Arabidopsis thaliana: one gene and its partners. The protein of the gene in region 1 purifies or fractionates together with the protein of each later gene. This does not show direct contact. Each region holds a gene or a part of one and is shown on either strand. Other genes may lie near its edges.

What was found.
Region 2: the proteins of AT5G02220 (region 1) and EXLA1 purify together in Arabidopsis thaliana (affinity purification with mass spectrometry, with the first as the bait; one large-scale study listed by BioGRID). This does not show direct contact.
Region 3: the proteins of AT5G02220 (region 1) and CEL3 purify together in Arabidopsis thaliana (affinity purification with mass spectrometry, with the first as the bait; one large-scale study listed by BioGRID). This does not show direct contact.
Region 4: the proteins of AT5G02220 (region 1) and CYCD2;1 purify together in Arabidopsis thaliana (affinity purification with mass spectrometry, with the first as the bait; one large-scale study listed by BioGRID). This does not show direct contact.

Annotation. Positions count from the first base shown.
Region 1 is NC_003076.8:440,497-444,481, forward strand, and holds AT5G02220 (cyclin-dependent kinase inhibitor), read right to left. Parts: upstream 1,692-3,985; 5' UTR 1,607-1,691; coding exon 1,388-1,606; 3' UTR 956-1,387; downstream 1-955.
Region 2 is NC_003074.8:16,894,111-16,898,415, reverse strand, and holds EXLA1 (expansin-like A1), read right to left. Parts: upstream 2,251-4,305; 5' UTR 2,179-2,250; coding exon 2,058-2,178; exon of another isoform or gene 2,022-2,057; coding exon of another isoform or gene 1,982-2,021; coding exon 1,687-1,981; intron 1,609-1,686; coding exon 1,227-1,608; 3' UTR 1,108-1,226; downstream 1-1,107. Other genes in the region: HTB9 (Histone superfamily protein), read left to right, coding at 472-924.
Region 3 is NC_003070.9:26,898,660-26,903,942, forward strand, and holds CEL3 (cellulase 3), read right to left. Parts: upstream 3,318-5,283; 5' UTR 3,091-3,317; coding exon 2,896-3,090; intron 2,822-2,895; coding exon 2,318-2,821; intron 2,238-2,317; coding exon 2,088-2,237; intron 2,010-2,087; coding exon 1,898-2,009; intron 1,824-1,897; coding exon 1,330-1,823; 3' UTR 1,106-1,329; downstream 1-1,105. Other genes in the region: AT1G71370 (DEA(D/H)-box RNA helicase family protein), read right to left, coding at 1-386, 453-722.
Region 4 is NC_003071.7:9,552,873-9,558,274, forward strand, and holds CYCD2;1 (Cyclin D2;1), read right to left. Parts: upstream 3,274-5,402; 5' UTR 3,002-3,273; coding exon 2,684-3,001; intron 2,444-2,683; coding exon 2,357-2,443; intron 2,275-2,356; coding exon 2,176-2,274; intron 2,074-2,175; coding exon 1,878-2,073; intron 1,761-1,877; coding exon 1,633-1,760; intron 1,546-1,632; coding exon 1,285-1,545; 3' UTR 931-1,284; downstream 1-930.

The DNA of each region.
Region 1 (3,985 bases):
TTTTGCTTTTCATTTTTTTCATCTTCTGTGAATGGTTATTTACATGAGCTATAAAGTATCGTGCCTCTGAGGTGCTAGATGGTTTTCCTCACTGTGTTTAAAGGTGAAGTAGTGCGTTTTGGTGTTAGGATTATCAAGTATAGCTAGCATAGCAACATGTTGATGGCCTACGAGATACTGAACACTTGAATCGTAAGTATAGCTAGCATAGCTTATCTTTGCTATATTCAAACAAAGTACTTGTGGATTTAGATTCTGGACTAACAAGATTTGTACTTTAAGAGATCCTTCCTCTTCATCTCAGTGGTACCTATGTTAAATGTAAAATGTTGTCTTTAGTTAAACGGTGTGGATACTTTATACTTAAGAAATTAACTTGGAAGTTACAATTGTAGATAGTCATCTCTTTACTCTCATGGAAAATAAGTTAATATATGACCTTTACTATACGACTATTTGCTTTCAGCGATATCAACGATCTGATGATAGTCACTGCGGAAACCTTGTGACTCAGAGCAAAAAGAGGAAACTGTGTTGAAGAATCAGCCATGTTTACCCCTACGGAAGCACTTTTGTCTGGAGCAACAAGCTTCTCTTCCTGATTCTTCATCCGACATAGAATCTGCTGAAATGCTCTTATATGCCATGGAGCCATGGAGTACACAAAAACCGGCAATGAGACCTCCCCTTTTGCGTCTCTCCCAGAACCTTATTTGGGACACAAAAACCGGCAAGGACACATGTCTAATCATTCAACCGGAAGTTATGGTTCTGGTTATGTTACATCAAGCTTGGACCAGTGTTGTTCCAAAGTTAATCATAAAACACACGAAGATGTTGAAGACTTTACTCACCTACATGAGTCAATATTTTAGTGTCACGCATTACAAAATTGTATGACATTCATTTGAATTGCAGATTCCGAAGAAACTACCTCAAAAACCAACCATTGATCAAAGAGTTTGAGCACTACTTTTTCAACACTTATGAATAACCAAAAAAACAGAGCAAATAAAGACATTGGTTCATCTGAATTTTCGTTAAGCTTTTGATGTTGTCTTGTTCACAGTTTCTAAACCTCACTTTCTCACCCAATTATGTAGTTGAAAAAAACTCTCTAATCAATAAACAGCATAATCAGAGTTTAACAATCAATCTTTCAATCTCCGACAAGAACTAATTAGATCTAGAACACAAGCCAACAAATTTCGAATTGGAAAACAGATCAAAGTTTCATTTTAGCAAATTCCAATTTCGATACACAAACAAAGTCATCTCTCTGAAAGATAAATAAAATCTAATAAGAGAACAAACCCTAAACATGTATCTACAGAGAAGAAAGTAAAAAAAAAACCTAGATAATTCAAATCAAATCAAATCTCAAAATCTAAGCGCAAGCTTCTCTTCGAGGCTGTGCGTAGAACAAAGTTTCAAGATCTGGTGGCTGAAAGTACCCGTTCCTCGGCGGATCTCGTTTTCTCACCACCATCAACTTCTTCCTCGGCGGCGGTGGACAAACAGACGCCACCGGAATCCTATACATCGTGCTTCTCGGCGTCGTACATCCTTCCTCCGCCATCTCCGTCTTCCTCTCCACCACCTCCATTCTTCTCTCTCGAACTCGAAATCGTCGTAAGAGGGAAAAAATTTGAAGTCTGAGAAGAGGCGGTTACATCTTTATTTTATATATCAAAAAAAAAAAAAAAATTCAGATTATTTCCTTTTAAAAAATTCGAAATTTGGGAGGGAGAACAAAAAAGGAATCTTTCTCACGAAGCTCTTTCTGAAATATCAATCGGACGGTGGATATGGTTTTAAACAGCTTGATGTGAGCTGGCTATGCTGACGTGGTGGAATTTTAGTGGTTGGTAGCACCAAATTTAAGTAACGCGTGACCCAACCGCACCGTTTCTCACGCTCCACTATCATTATTGGTAAATCTTTATTATATTAATATATATTTTGTCCACTTTTATCATATTTAATAATATTTTTTATCTGTAATTTATCCGTTTGTGACGGCGCGAACTTGCGCAGCAAGTCCCTTTGGGCGGGAAAATTAAAAAAGGACTCCTTCCTTTTTGCAGCGAAAATTTTATGTTCGTATACCGATCGGTTTTGGTAACATTAAACCGAAATTGTAAACCGGTATCTTTTTAATCCTTATATAGCTTCTGGAAATGAATCACGAGGGTGGCACGTGCGGTCTTCCACCAAGTTATTCACGTGATTTATTTCTGAGAGTTAAACGCACTCTCACTGTTACCGTTGTTCTTGTCCTCCAGTTACAAGCCAACGTAGCAAAAAATAAAAATTATAAGTAATTGATTTTTGTCAAGATTATATATTGATTATGGTATAACAAAACTTTAGAAATATAAAATTATCAAAAAATTATTATAGTAGCAAATTTAAGAGAAGCCCATAAACCACAAAAAGTATCAATCGGTCAAACCCAAGAAGAAAGCAAAAAACCCAAAAAAACTTAAACGGCCCAATCTGATTAACTATATAATATATCCGTTTTGGCCCATTAAAATAAACATTACCGGCGGCGAAAAGAGCTCCGAGAATATGTGGGGTGCTCCGGCGATTAATAATTAAAATTAGTTTATTGTAACTTCATGTTTTTCGTTGTTGTCAACTACTAATCCTTTTCACTTGACTCGGTCTTCTAGTTTCAACATCGGTTAAAATGGTCCTCAGATAAGTTCTTAACTTGTCGTTTTAAATTACAACGTAGACGTATTGTAGAGCTTCTTATTTAAATAATAAAAACAACGAATTTTATGTGGAAATAGAGTTGTTTGCAGGTCTTTGTTGTACTCAAGGAAATTTTCTTGCAATTTGTTGTTTCACTGAAATGTCAACGTATATATATGTGAACATGGAGAGCCTATCACATTCTCTACTCTCGATGATCATGAGTACAAATTATACAATAATCCTAGTTATTAGTTTTTACCATTATATAATACTAATTGATCAAGCAATATTGCTTGCGGCTCCACTTTTATATCAAACGAAACCTAGTCCTGGACTCCTAGTAATTTAATTTTCATTTTGGAGATTCAGTTATCAGATTTTTTTATTAAAAAAATATAAAATTGATATATGAAAAAAAAAAAAAAAAAAAAGAGAAATAACAGGGAGATTGTAGTCTACAATTTGTAGTGGAGTCTCAGTCTACATACATGAGTCATATTGATGTCTTTCTATAGTATCAATTAAGTTTTGACGAATGAGTGACAAAATATTTTGTTAGTGCCTTTAGTTTTGAGTGATTGTCCTTTTCACCACGACTTGACAATTTTTTTCTATGAGTCCGAATTACGAAACTACACATAAATTTCTGATTCATACGCCAAAAGAAAAAAATATTATATGATCACTAACACGATTTGAATATGAATACTATATGATAAGTAATACATTGACTTTTATCGTAACTCGTTGTACTAGCAGAATAGCTTTAGTTAATTATTTTCCCTTGTTATTATATTCCAAACTAATCTAACCTCTTCTCTTGGACCTCTATGGAGTTTTCTTTGTTAATGTTGTTAGTATGTTTACATTTAGTATAAATTTATACGAAGATGCTTTGTGTTTCTCTTCTTACAGCTCTTATTACTTAATTTAATTTTAATTATATTCGTGAGTAATTTTGATATTGACGATTAATTGAGTTAATCAATAAGAACAGAAAAATGACTAATCGAAAACCCGGAAATAACCATTTAAAAAGAAAGAAAAAGAGCAAAGACGTCAATATCAATGCCAACTAGCTACTTTTGATATAAATGCAACAGTTCAGGAAAAATAAGAGTTATATTAGTCAAAATCAGAATCACCAATTATAGTTTAAATCCTATTGATCAAAGTGACATTTTATACACGTAATTCTAAAAACTATTAAATTATTTAATTAAGAGGAATTTCATACAAATATCTAACATTTTTAAAAGTTACCAAAGTTTCTAATCGG
Region 2 (4,305 bases), on another chromosome or scaffold:
TCAGTTTTACAGCAAAATATATTGTGTTAAACTGTTAGTGCAAGCCTACTAGTATATATATTCTATACTCTGTTTCTTCACAGATATGTTTAGTTAGTTTTTTCATAATTGTATAGACCACATTAATCAGATCTGCTTTGGATCAGGCTGATATTAAAATTTTAAGCCCAATAAAAGCCCATTTACAATACAGTGGAGCGGGAACGGAGATTTTAACACCGCGCTAAAACATAAACCAATATTGACACGTCATCGATCCCGCTTCATAAGTTTATAAACCGTCGATTAAAAACAATTTCAACGGTTGCGATCTCCCATCTCATCGATCCTCGTCAACATCTAATAACCAATCATATCAATTATTCTAACTACTATAAAATCAAAACTCGTCTTCATCAAATTAGATATCAAAATCACTCAGATCTGTGCTTCTTCTTCTTCACCCAGAAAAGTAAAACAAAAGTCAAAACAATGGCGCCGAGAGCAGAGAAGAAGCCCGCGGAGAAGAAACCAGCCGCCGAGAAACCAGTAGAGGAGAAATCAAAAGCCGAGAAAGCTCCGGCGGAGAAGAAACCAAAAGCCGGCAAGAAACTCCCGAAGGAAGCCGGGGCCGGCGGCGATAAGAAGAAGAAGATGAAGAAGAAGAGTGTGGAAACTTACAAGATCTACATCTTCAAGGTTCTGAAACAAGTTCATCCAGATATTGGTATTTCAAGCAAGGCTATGGGTATTATGAACAGTTTCATCAACGACATCTTCGAGAAATTGGCATCGGAATCTTCAAAGCTCGCTAGGTATAACAAGAAGCCGACGATTACTTCTCGGGAGATTCAGACTGCTGTTAGACTCGTTCTTCCTGGTGAGCTCGCTAAACACGCTGTTTCTGAAGGAACCAAGGCTGTTACCAAATTCACAAGCTCTTGAATTAGTAAATTAGGGTTTGTATACTCTGAATTTGATTCTGATGTTGTCATAACTTGTGTTAGGATTTCTCTTTCGTTTTATTAAGCTTTAATTATCATTCTCCGTTGTAAAGTAATCTTATGAATCTGTCTTCGAATCAAAAGTTCTGGTTGTTAATGGCTCAATGTTGTTCTCTTGTTTAATCAATGTAGAATCATGAGAATCATTAGATTAAGCATTCTTTAACTATGTTCATTAATAACCTCTGTCACACATTATATATAAACCTATGAAAGATGTTTGTTTGTGTGCCACTAAATAACTTAGTTCCAGATGTGAGCATCGCAAGGATCACAACCTTCTTGAGCAATGTCAGTGATTTGAACACCGGCGTCGTAAATTTTCCCAGCTTCCCAATTGGATGGAAGAACACTCTGTGACCAAATCATTTTACCGTCGTATCCACCGGTTACTACGAACCTGAACTGGATAGCTCCGGTGGGTACTTTGTCAGTTACCCAAACAGCTCCGTGGCTTCTTGTCATGTAACCCCAATTTGGCGATGAACCGACTTGAGCAATGTCGATGGATACTACTTCTGTTTGACCTCCTTGGTATAAAAGCTTTATCTCTAAGTAGTTTGGTTTCTTGCTTGCTTCTTCTACTCTCACGTTCATGTTCTTGTTGCCGTAATCGCAAGGAACTCTGTTTTTTTTTTTGATGACCAAGTTAATATCGTGTGATTAAGAAAACCAAAGAGTTTAGGTGTTTTGAGAATCGAACCTTTGGTATTCGATGTCGACAATGCCTTGTTTGAGAAGGTCTTTGTCAGCACCAACAATAGGTTTAGCCATAGCTCTAAAAGCTCTGCTACTAAGGACAAGATCGGTTTGGTTACTCTTGTTTAAGTCTGTGATCATCACAATGGTTCCTTTAGTGCTACACAGCTTAGGGTTCTTGCATCTGACTTGAAAGCAAGCTCCACAGCCAGCACCGTCTTTGTAGATAGAAGGGATAGCTGCAGCGATATGTCCGGCGAAGAAACTCGTAGCCATAGAGCCATAAGCACAAGCTCCAGCTGCAAAAAACACATAAACAAGACATGAGAAAAGAAACATACAGATAGTTAAAAAAGAAGTAGTTAAAATGTTTACAAGAGAGAGCAGAGGCAGAGGAGAAATAAGCTGCTTTAGAACGGTGAAGACATCGATCACAAGCGTTAACGGATGAAGAGAAGAGGAAGATGACTACGATGAGGAAGAGAAAGCTTCCCATTTTTTGTTTACTTGAAGAAGCAATAATATCTTTATGATCAAATAAGAGAGAGAGATATGTGAATTTACATGTAAAGAGAAGAGAGGACAAAGAATGGATTATATAGAGACTATAGAGAGGTTGATGCCAGCTCATCATCTCAATATCTAACACACACTGTCACGTCATAGCTGGTATGTGTGTGTGTGTATCTTCCCAATTACGCGTTTTATACATATATGTTAAAATGACATCTTTGATTAAATCATTAGTCCAAAGTAAAAAGAAGAAGTGTGAAAGAGAGAAGATAGTTTTACCAATATGAGTCATGGGATGATGTGGCGTTACACCGACTCTTTTCTTTGCTTTGTTCATGACGGTCTTCTCTTTAGGTAAGGGACAAAACATTTGTTAGAGTGTCGAAACTAATTAATAAACGAAATAACCCATATTTGTTCTTTTTTAAAACCTAACCAATAATAATACATATATTTAAAAAATTTGGGATAGATTTTTTTTTTAATTTGTGCCAACTAAAACATATAAAAGAAAAATATTAGTGAGAGTTATCGGATTTTAATTGATTTAAAAATCTAAACATAATCATGTGTTATCATAACGTTGATACCAAAGTTTTTAAAAATAAAATCGTGTTTTTATTCGCTTAATACTTTTGAAATATGGTATTCCTCGTTTATTGATTTTATTACATTTTGATAAAGATTTGATTTTAACAGATTTCAAAAATCCTTGCATTTTTATTATAAAATCAGTAAGTGTATCTATAAACACGTCTTACCATATCAAGTTAAGAATGAATTTTAATAATAGAGACAAACCTGAAAAACGGGATTGCTTTGGGAAGTAGGGGAAAGATAAGAACAAATTCCAAAACCAATTTCACTTTCTTTCTATCTTTCTCTTTTTGCCTAAACCCTTTTCATCACTTCGTCTATAGACTCTACACACGTCTTTGTATCGTTCGTTAATTAAAATGAAAAATCTACCCAAGTTTTTTTTCCCTAGGGATTAGCTAGGATTTAGTTCATAACAACTCATTTCCACTAACAAACCAGCTTATAAAAATGAAAGTCTACACATTTAATAATTAGATGTAGAGCATTAGGGCTAAGTGATTTATCACTAAACTCTATCGATACATGTGTTAGTATTAATTCGGACATGTCAAAAGTTTGTATGTTAGATTTTGTTGATTTTGAGTTATTGAAATCTTCAAAATATTCAAAGATTGGTACCTTAAAACATCCATGTGAGAACGACTCATACGGCATTGATTACTACATGTGAAGATATCTTCATAATACTCCCCTCTATATCTCTTTTTTTTCATTGTCGGGATATACAATATATAAGTTTTTTTTGTGTGTAAGATTTCTTTATCAACCACTGACTTTTATTAATGATGCATATCGAAAATTAAGGCTAATGGGATTTGGTATAGGCTAATGTCTAGTAACAAGAAGAGTATATTTTTTTTAGTGGTGCGGGCTTTAAAGGAGTCCAGTGAGGTGAGTATTGTTTAAGTGAGTCCATCGTGTAGTTGGGTTCATTCAAGCCACTTCAAATGACATTAGAAATGTTTTATTTTCAAAATAGTTGCACTTATATTGCAGCGGTTGCATTGCTTGACATACTAAAAAACTTGAAACCTATAGGATAGATGTATATATCACCAGCTTTAACTTTAGAAATTTCACTGAAGAGATGCTTAAGACTTTATAGATGAGAATGAGACATTATCTTTGATTGATTTCCATTTAGTTAAATAGTTATTTGTGAGGGGATTTTCTAGCTAATTATAAATCACAACATATGTAAATGTATCAAGATGGATAAAATATTGAAATGTACAGTACGAAAATCTCAAGATAACTGCGAATATAACAATGATTCAAGTACTAACTTAAGCCTGCGATTTTTAGATTTCAGATTCAATCAAATCTCTACGTTCAACGCATATTTGAACCGGAAATTTATCAAAAAAAAATCAAAATTAATAAATGGCTTCGCCCGGGTTCGAACCGGAGACCTTCAGTGTGTTAGACTGACGTGATAACCAACTACACCACGAAACCTTTTTGACTATGTTTCCTTACTAATTTATATAAAGACACAACAGTTTCTTCT
Region 3 (5,283 bases), on another chromosome or scaffold:
CCAGCCTTGGCCAGGTCTGCAACAGCTTGTGTTTGTGTAGCTGAAAAGAGGCCAGTCCTACGTTGCTTTGGCAAGCGAGATATAATGTAATTGACCTGCTTCTGGAACCCCATATCCAAAAGTCTATCGGCCTCATCTAAGATAAGAATCTCGAGATTTCGAAAATCCAGAAACTCCATTCGTTTCATCATATCTGAAAGCCTTCCAGGGGTGCCGATCAAGAGATTGGCTCCTTCTTCTTCGAGAGTATTCATGTCAGCTTCCACCTCTCGACCTCCAACAAGCAGGACAGAGTTCACATTTGGCAAAGTCGAGACAAATGGCTCTGCCACCTTATGTATCTGCGCTGATAGCTCTCTAGTTGGCGATATAATCACCCCCATTACCTGAGATTGAAATTGTTAACATATAGCATAAGCTACTACTCTTGATATTCGGCTAATTCTCCTTACCTGGTGTGGCTTCGGAGGGTAGGAGTTGGATCGACGGATAATCTCTATGAAGGGAAGGAGGAAAGCTAGGGTTTTTCCAGAACCAGTGGCTGCGTCGACGACAACATCCTTGTGGCTGCAGAGGAAAGGGATCGTCTCGGCCTGAACCGGAGTGCAGACCTCGAAACCGGACCGGTCAAGCGCCTCGATGATATCTTCTGAGAGCGGAGGTTTGAGTTCAGAGAAACGCGGCAGAGCCTTGGTGATAGTCTTCGGCGGCGATGAATCCATGACGGCCGCCGCTTGCTTGTCGCTCACTCCAGATTATTTTTTAGCTATGATCTACATCAAAATTTTGTTCGAAATCTGTTGTTTTTGCTACAGTTTCTCCTAAAAGCCCACTAAGAGAAAAAATATCTCTCGGCCCATTAGTTTCAATTCTCTCTCGGCCCATTGTTTGGCATATGTGTAATTCCTTTTAGCAGAAAACGATATTTTGTCTTTACATTTCCTACTTAATGCATATCTTTCAGCTGTTTAATCTTTGTACTGATGACATAATTGACAAGTAAATATTCTAGTGTTCTTTCATGACATAATTGACAAGTAAATATTCTAGTGTTCTTTCATGGTGCTATAACCAAACATGAAATATTTCCGTGGTGCTTAATTAACGGCCTTGGTTGAATATTTGAAACGCGTAATGATGATGGTTAGAGTTAAATAAGACCACGAGAAATATTTCCGTCGGGTCCTTTAGTATTGGGTCTTAGCCCATTAAGAGTTTTACATTTAAATAACTTTGTCCCTTCTGATTTTCACGTTAGGCTTGGACCAACGGATCTTTAACTAACAATGGAACTACAAATCGGAGAATGTGGCGGTGGCGAATTCAATTTCAAGTCGAACGGCCGGCGGCGAAGTACGCCAAAGGTCCGACGAAGGCGGCGTTTATATAAGTCGCCGGTTCCGCGTGACTATAATCGTCTCTCTGATCTGGATACCCATCGTTTTGATTCGGACCTCCTACGATTGCTCCGGTGAGAATGTTAGGGTTAGGGTTTTGAGTGTAGAACGATTGGAATCCACCATTGCAGCCTAACGATTGAGAACGAAGTGCGTGTGAAGGAAGAGAAGATGCTCTGTGGTGGATTCTCTTAGGGAAATTGGAAGAGAATCCAACCATGTATGACATTTTGATTGGGTTATCTCCGAGTATGTAATCAACTTGTCGCTTCGATAGGCTTATCAAGGCGTTGGGGACGATAACGGAGCTTCCGCAATTGAATGTGTGTTTTGTGGCTTTCATGTATTTGGCGTAAGTTGTGAGCAAGAATGTTATGGAGGTTACGTACTGAAGATTGCTTTGAGGTAGCTTGTACATTAATCCTCCTGTAATTGGTAAACATATGATTAGAAGAGGTTGTTGTTTAGCAATTTGTGTTCTATATCGTGAAGTAGGTTACCTTGAGTGTATTGGGTAGAGGAAGAAGGAGAATCTGGAAGGATTTTGCAGATGAAATTCTCAGCTGCTTGCTTATATTGTTCAAAGTTGCTGTCTTTGTTAAGTAATGCTCTCTGCCAAAATGTAAAAGTTAGATAGTGTGATGCTAAAAGCTATGTTCTCAATGAGTTTTTATTAGCAGAGAGACAAACCCGTGAGAGAAGAACATAGGCACCAGCATATTTATTGTCCCAGCTGAAGATGTCAGGCTGATCTCCACCTCCTAAAGATTTTATGAAGTTTGCGTAATACGGGTTATTCGTTGCTCTTAGCAGCCATGACGCACCCCACATTAGCTCGTCCTGTGTTCATAAATTCACATTTTTAAAAATGAGGATCTGATGTAGTGGTAAGAGTGGTTTAGTTTCATGTGAAAGCAGACCTTGTAACCAGAGTAGGAGCAGTAGAAAGGACAGACAGATGAGGAAAGGGAATCACTGTAAGCTCCCTGGTACTGAATGGCAAACTGCATCACATCCTTAGCTGTTGCGAGCAGCAAACGTGAATACTTGGAATCAACTTTTCTGAAAACCATAGAAGCTGCAGCTAGAGCTGCTGCTGTTTCAGCTGCGACATCAGAACCAGGATTGGAAGCGGATACAGAGTAAACTGTACGTGGTGTGTCCATGTCTTCAGGCCGTTCCCAGCATTTGTGATCAACATTAGGATCTCCTACACCGACATAAAGCTTCCCCGGCGTGGCTCTGGCACATTTCAGCAGATAATCTGTGGCCCAACGGATGTTCACACGTGCATTTTCCAGCTCAGGACCCATCCGTTTACCGTATTCCAGTGCGCTCCATGAGAGCATTGTGGTGGTAAACGCCATTGGTAAATTGAACTTGACGTTGTCTCCTGCGTCATAGTACCCGCCGGTTAAGTCCACCTGCAATTCATATATCAATGTTACTAACAAAGATATATTCTGTATCAAAGTTAAATATGGTTTAAGGTGTGTACATGAGCAGCAGAGCCATCGGAAAGGCCAGAGCTAGCCCTCCAGGAAATTTGTTGGCCTCTAGGAAGAGGACCAGATCGCTGACCTTGGAAGAAGAGCAATGACTTGGAGAGAGCTTCTTTGTAATTTGGGTTGGCATCGCCATTGCTTATGAGAAGAGACGAGAAAAGGAGAACAAAGAAGAAAAGAGAAGTCATCTTGAAGACAGAGAGCTAAATTGCTTTTGAGGTTTGAAGTACGAAGCTATTACGTGAAGGTCCACATATATATACAGAGAGATAGGAGAGAGAAGGATCCTGCGCTGAAGGAAGCGATAATTATGGCTTTTTGGTTATCAACGTGCTGCTCCTAAACAAAGTAACCTTAATCCTCCTTTTTTACTATTTTATGGTTTAGGTTAGTTCATACCTTAATATTGCTTAACCAAATCCTTTTCTTTTTTTTTTGTCTATTGTTAAATTCTAGTTGTTTCACCTTTGTTTGTCCATTCTAGTTGTTTCACCTTTGTTTGTCCATTCAAATTCCTCTGTACGTTTTTTCTTTTATGTCAATTGTTAAGTATTTTCTTAAAAGTGTTGAGAAACGGAAGAAATTAAACTAGGTTATTTGATATTAGTGGGGGTGTATTGGGAAGCAAGAAAGTCTTAATAGTCTCTTATTTCCTAAGAGGTAGTATTGGGACATGAATAAACGAAATATAAACGCACGTAACGACTTTGCGTCTTCTCGAAAAGATACTGTTATAGTCAAATGTCGAATGCAAAAGTTGGACTCTTTTATTCTCAAAAGACGGAAGAGTTTTCAGTTTTTTGATATACTGATATCTATGTATTTTAAAAAAATTAATCGGATGGATTTCAAAAAAAAAAATTTGAAGCGGAAGTCTTTGATTCGTATTTTTCCTTATATGAGATTTTGATCCGATTTTTTTTTGCAATCGAATCAGATCGTTCCCTTTTTGAGATTTTTCCTACATAAAATCCAAACGACATTTAATCATTGATTTTTTCAATTTATCGTGTATATACAATATACTTGTAAAGTAAATGGTTTCATATTTTAATGCAAAGCAAATATCCAACGTATATTAACTTAACAAACCAATATTTGATATTTAAACTGTTTCCTATAAAAATGCTACAAATTATGACCCCATTAATATTTGTCTCATAAATCAACTGAACCATATAAAATCGACATTCAATCACACCTACTGAATTGGAAATGATTCCTAACTAAACGATTTTATTTCTAAGATATCTAATACTTGCTAAACAAGTAACGTTTTCCTTTTATGCAAACCTAAGTTTGTTTTTAATATATTTCCTAGTTACGATATACATAGACTGTTTAAAATTTTGAAATGGGCAGTTTCGGGGTTAAAATGGATCTACCGTAGTAAGAATATGTTCATATATGGGTATAGTTAGGGAGTGCATAGTTGAATTAGGTTAGGGGGATTAAGTGATTTTGAATTTAAAAAGAGGAGACAAAAGATAAAAGGGAAGCGTGAATGGCGCCAAGATAACGGCGCCGAGTCTTGGAACGTAATCAAAAGTGTGTGTTTAGTGTAATGGAGACGAAATTGATGCCTTAATCCACTTTCTTATCCCATGTGTTTATTATAGTATTACTCTCTTTATTTGCTTTTTCTTTCATGGGACATTCTTTTTGTTTAGCTTGTGTAATAACAAAAGCGAGTAAAAAGGCGACAACGTGTCTGCTCGATGTCATTGATCTTCTGACATTATATGAGTTAAGAGAATGATTAACTTGGGTATAATGTATTTATCAATGTTTAAGCAGACGCGTGATGAAAGCTTCAGGTAATACTTATTAGTAATTGTAATCATTCGATATCACTAGTCGCAATCAGGACTCAAAATATCATACTAATATTTTTCTCCCGTAAAGATTAATGGTTTGCATGAGAATAATAAATAGATCAAGAGAGATTTCAGAATTAAGCAACAGTTTATCTCTTGTTTTTTACTCACATGCTTAATGATTTTTTTACTCCTGGTGGCCCTACCCACTGATACTACTCGAAGAATTTTCGGTTGTTTTGTTGGCAAATGATTTTTTTGTATCCTTTTTGTCAAAAAGGTGTTTTCTTTTTATTCTTTCATGTTTGTACTTCTGAATGGCTTTTACATTTTGTTGAGGAGGACAAACAGTGGATACCATCCACGACTATGCGAGGAAAATTTTGGAGGAAATTTTTTTAGCCGAAGATTTGATTGCTAAAGTTGGACTTGGATCCTCTAGTAACCATTTGACTCTTTCTTTATAATAAAAACTACACCAAAATAAATGTAGATTTATTATATATTTATATATAGATGCACGACTATGTACTGTATTAGGGATTTAAATTAGCACATATATGT
Region 4 (5,402 bases), on another chromosome or scaffold:
TAGAGAGAGATGTTGACCGGTCGCACAGTCAAAACAAAAATAAATGGGCCCACTAAACTCTTTTCGGGGCCCATTGTGGTTTTCTCTTCTCCAATCCCCAAAACATGCAATTGTCTTTTAAACCAATTAAGTATTTTTGTTGTTGGGAAAATTAGATATTTTTTTTCAAAGCAAAGATAATAGTAAAAATACATAAAATTCAAGGGTTGTATTAATATGTAATAAGTTACTAACCAGTAACCAGGTAAATAGTAAGGGTTTTTAAAAATAAATTCTCTTGTATATCGTTTTAGAAATTATTTTAATTTTAAATAATGTCAATTGTACTTCTTTTTATAACTAGAAGTTCTTGAGAATAGTAAGAACTTGAATATATTTAAGGGCAAAAATAAGTTTAGTTTCAAAAAAAATATCACATGTTTTCGAATGTTCCACAAATAGCACAAATTTAGTATTATTTTTAAATTTTTTTTGGAAATGTCTTACTTAATTGTTGAAAATATTTAGGAATATCTTACTTAATTGTTGAAAAGCTTCTAAATAATTTGAATTTAAATTATAGGTACTAGAGTCATCAATATTTACAGTGTTCCAATTCAATACTACATTCACAAAAATGTAATCTCATGTCACTACGATGTGATTTAGAACAGTTTAGAAAAAATTGTATGTTCCGATAATGGAGAAAATATAGATTTTTATGTGATAAAAATTTATCGGAACAACAGTTTTTTTTAACATGATATATGCATATTTATAGGAACAACAAATTTTTTGTAAAATGGAGAGAATATAGATTTTTCTGTGATAAAAGTTTTTTTTAATATAAATTTAAAATAATCTCTACTGCATTATATGATACTTTATAACTTCTGACATATGTTAAAATAAAAGATATATACTATAGTGCATATTTGAGGACACAAAAATCATAAAATTAATTCTCTTTCTATTTCTTTTTTTTTTAATTATATCTCTGACATTATGTAGAAAAAAAAAAGTCCCTTGGAGCAAGAACAGGGATGTCTCTCATCATCATCAATAATGACTTATTAATTTTGCCGCCTTCCAAAGAGCTCTCTCTCTCTCTCTTATTTTCTTTTTTCCTTTCTCACAAAACTCTCATATTCAATCCAATTTTCAGATTGAAAATGAGAAATCAAAGAAAGAAAAAGAAAATTTATGTAGAAAAAAAAAACCAAAAAAATAAATAAGAACCTCAAATGTCATGAGTACTTGTGGTTTTGGGTTGTAAAAAGCAATGTATGACTCTTTTATTCTCTCTCATTGTTTTCTCCTCCTCTTGTTGCTGTTGTTGTTGTTGTTGTTGTTGTCTGGACTACTCTGTGAGGAATTTGTACATGACTCAACTGTTCTCTCTTCACTCCTATAGCTCAAACATGTTGCTTCCAACACTCCAACTGGACTTGCAGGTACAGCTCTTACCGCAACTCGCGCCTGCTCCTGCGATAAACTAGTTCCCCGCACATTCTCCTCCCCAGTGAGACTTCTCATCAGATTCAAACATCTCTTCACCCTCTCCTGCTAAAGGAAGACAATGATCAGATGAAATGTGTGTTCTTGAAACAGTAAAGGTTTAAGTCTTTCGCTATCATACCGAATGTTAATTACCTGTTTTACATATATGAGACTAGACAGTGCCTTTTCCTCATCAATGCATTCTGTTTCTCCTGAAATGGAAACAGACACTGCAGCAGCTGCAGCTATCTCAGAAGGCCTGAAGTCTAAGAATTCAATTGCTGCATTCAATTTTATAAACAGAAACGTATCAGCCTTCCTCATTAAACAAAGCCAAGTTAGTTGCAAATAAAGAAAGAATGTTGTTATAGCTTGCTTCTGATCAATAAATGACGCACCTTTGGTGGTGTTTAAGATGAATCTTGACGATCTATAGATCAAATTCTCCGACACGTGACCACTGATCTTGTCAACGAAATAATCAATGAAGGAGAATGGAGTTAGAGCTTGCAATCTCCAATTCAAAGTGGTGACAACCAAAAGCTCCATCCTTTTTATTGTTTTGGCCTCAAAAACAAACTTGGGATCTTCCACCTGCTCATAGGAACAACATTTCAAGATTAGTTCCACTAAAACCTCGATTTTCGACTCTTCGTAAGAAGACTGAAGCTATTAAGGACTAAATGTAAGTTGCACCTGTAAATCAACAATGTGAGGCACATCAGTTTCTTCCATTTTGGATGCTAATGATAAGCAAGACACAGCTAGTAACTGAGCAGCCCAATCCTTGTCTTTCTACGCAATCGAAAACACACAAACCGGTCATCGTATTGTCTCGAATACGATGAAACCAATCCGCAAAGACGATGCAACTTACCGGCAATTCATAGGATGTTAAGAACCGATCCAAGTAGTTCATGGATAGGCATATGCACAGATGTCCAAAATGGTAATGAGCACAAACCTGTAGAACAATTGGCATTAAAGACAAAAGAACTCAATTACTCAACAAGATCAATACCTCAATCTATAGAGAAGATTCAATTAATCTATAATAAATACATCAGAGAATGAATGAGCTATCAAACTGATCAAAGAACACACTTAAACTCAATCACAAAGCACAAAAAGAGACCAAACCAGATTTGAGGTTTGTCTTAAAACACAACACAGATCAAAGCAATCAAAAGAAGAAATCACATACCTTTAGAATCCAATCAAGAGCTTGGTTTCGAACAGACAAATCCAAATCACCAGAAAGCAATCTCTTAACATAATCAGTTCCAGGGCAAAACTCAATCTCTCTCACCAACATCTCTTTGATTCTGTCTTCACTCAAGGACGATGAAGAAGAACCCATCATCGGAATTGATCCGTTGCCGCCAAAGTTGTCGTCTTTAGCAAAAAGTTGGTGATTGTAATCAATCTCGTTCGTAAATCCGCCGCCATAGTTGATATCATCATCGTCGTTGTCAATGATCCATGACTCGCTGGTTTCACCACAAGCAAGATTCTCAGCCATGGGGTTTGGTTTGATTGTTGTGTTGTGTATTGATTGATAATAGTCTGTTTAATTCGTTTATTGGGGTGGTCTCAAAGTTTTTGAGAGCGTTCGGACAAGAAAGTGAAAACTAAGGAAGCAAAAGTCATCAAAGATGGGAGATTTCTGAGGAGGTTTTGTCTTGAGGAACTGCGATTTTCATGGCAGAGGAGAAGAGAGAGGAGAGAGAGGCTTATACAGAGGAAAGTGGGTGAGTGTGTTTTAGGGTAGAGAGGGGAGAGACCACTCCACAGACTCGAAATGGAAAATACAGAGAATATACACTAAGAACAATATGTGGAAATATAAATTATATTTAAAATTTAAATCATATTGTTATTAATAGTTTAATATCACAAGTCCTTATAAACTAAATTTAAATTGTCATAGTAAAAACGACAAAAAAAAAAAAAAAAAAAAAATTGTCATAGTAAAATTTAGAAATTACATAAAGTCAACGATAAAAAAAAAGTATTCCAAAAAAATAAGTTGGTCATAAATGTTGAAATCTCCAGAGATACTATTCCCAAAAAAGAAGACAATTCACTATTTTTTGGTTTTCATGTTCTTGTTTAGTGTTTTGTAAACTTCTGAAATTGAATCATATGCTTTATTTACTTCTATTTAGTGGATCTTTCTTTTGAGGTTAAGGTTAGGGAACCTTGTGCTATTCGCCAACATCGGTAACGTCGAGATATAAACCGAAAAAACAATAACTAATAAGATCTCAATCACTTATGATTTTGAACTAGAGTAGAATAAACTTAAAGACGCCCAACTGTTTTTACCGCTGTAGTAGATATGAAAGACTGATTGAAAGCCAAGAAAAGAAAATGTCAAAGATAGAAAGAAGAACCATCGACCAAAACTTGACCTAAAACATCGGACTACCACCACATAACCTTAGAAACAAAATATGAAATGCGGAGTTGTGGAAACATCCAACCTAAGGAAAAAAATATATAGCTAAGGCTATGTTTCTATTAAGACGAATCATTTAGTAACTTCACTTATATAAAATATTTTGTCATGTTTAAGTTAATTACAGTTTAACTAACACTATACATTTCTTTTCATTTTCATGATTTTCCGGATCGATTTATAAGTGTTAATTTGGATTCGATCGTTTAGACATCATTTTCAACATGTGTTCACATCCTTCCTCTATTCTTAAACACCTAGTTATATGGCAAAGTAATCTGATACAAAAGATATTTGCTAATAAATGATCTAATAATTTTAGAAATCTAACCCGCATAGCATGAAAATTGCTTAGTTCAAATCAAGATTTAGGTAATGTAACTCACCTTTATTAGGTTTTTAACTTTTAACTAGGTGAAGTGTTCGCGGATTTGGCCCATTCGACATTGTTATGAAGCGGTCACGATTATGAAAATTATATCCCCACTACAGAAGAAACTAAATAGGATAAACTAACTTTAGCAGTAGTCAGATGTGGATTAGACTTCACGTAAACGTACAAGTTGCGATATGAGCTCAAGCAAACATCAGATTTTAGGGTTTCCAACATATTACTTAACATATAAATTTTGGAAATTATTTTATGTGTTTTCTAGTAACAATGACAACAATTACGATATTGATTATCTAAGGAGTGGAAGTCACTGAAGAAAAATTACTAAACAACTTTATTTCCGGATTTTTTTTTTGTTTTGGGGTTTTTAGGTTCTAGAAAATAATCTCCATTTGGAATCAAAACTATCAGTTTCGTTTGGACACGCTTTTATTATCTCAACTGAGGCCATCCCACTATATTACTAAAGAAAAATACTTCTAAATCCAAGAAGGAGAGACTTCTCAAACTGAATAGATAAATTACATTCAGAATCAGAGAGCCTATAACAACTACATGCCACATCTCAGCAATACTAAACAGTTTGTTCTTTATAACCAAGGCCAAAAATTTGTCTCAGAGAACCATTTTATACTTTACTATCTCAATGATCTATGAATTCCCTACTAAGCATATCAATATCATTGCAGCATAGAAGGGTATCAATCCAATCCTTTGTGTGATTGCAAATATTCAAGACATAAACAACAATTATTTAAGTCAAGTCAAGTCAAATATGATAAGGTTTGGGTTTCTATTGAACTTAAACAATAGATTAACATGCAATACCAAATTCAAATGCAACTATACTAAGGAGAATGTAAAGAACTAAACAACTAAGCAATGAAGCAGCATGCATATCAATTGAAACTAAAGACCAAAAGTAAACAAAACAATAAACTAAAGAAAATGCAAGATTACCAGTACTAAAGAAAAACAAGGAACACAAATCAATAAAGCACTAAAGACCAGGAACACATACTTCAACTCAAAATCAAAGAAGCATAAATGATCAGACGCAAGCAAGTC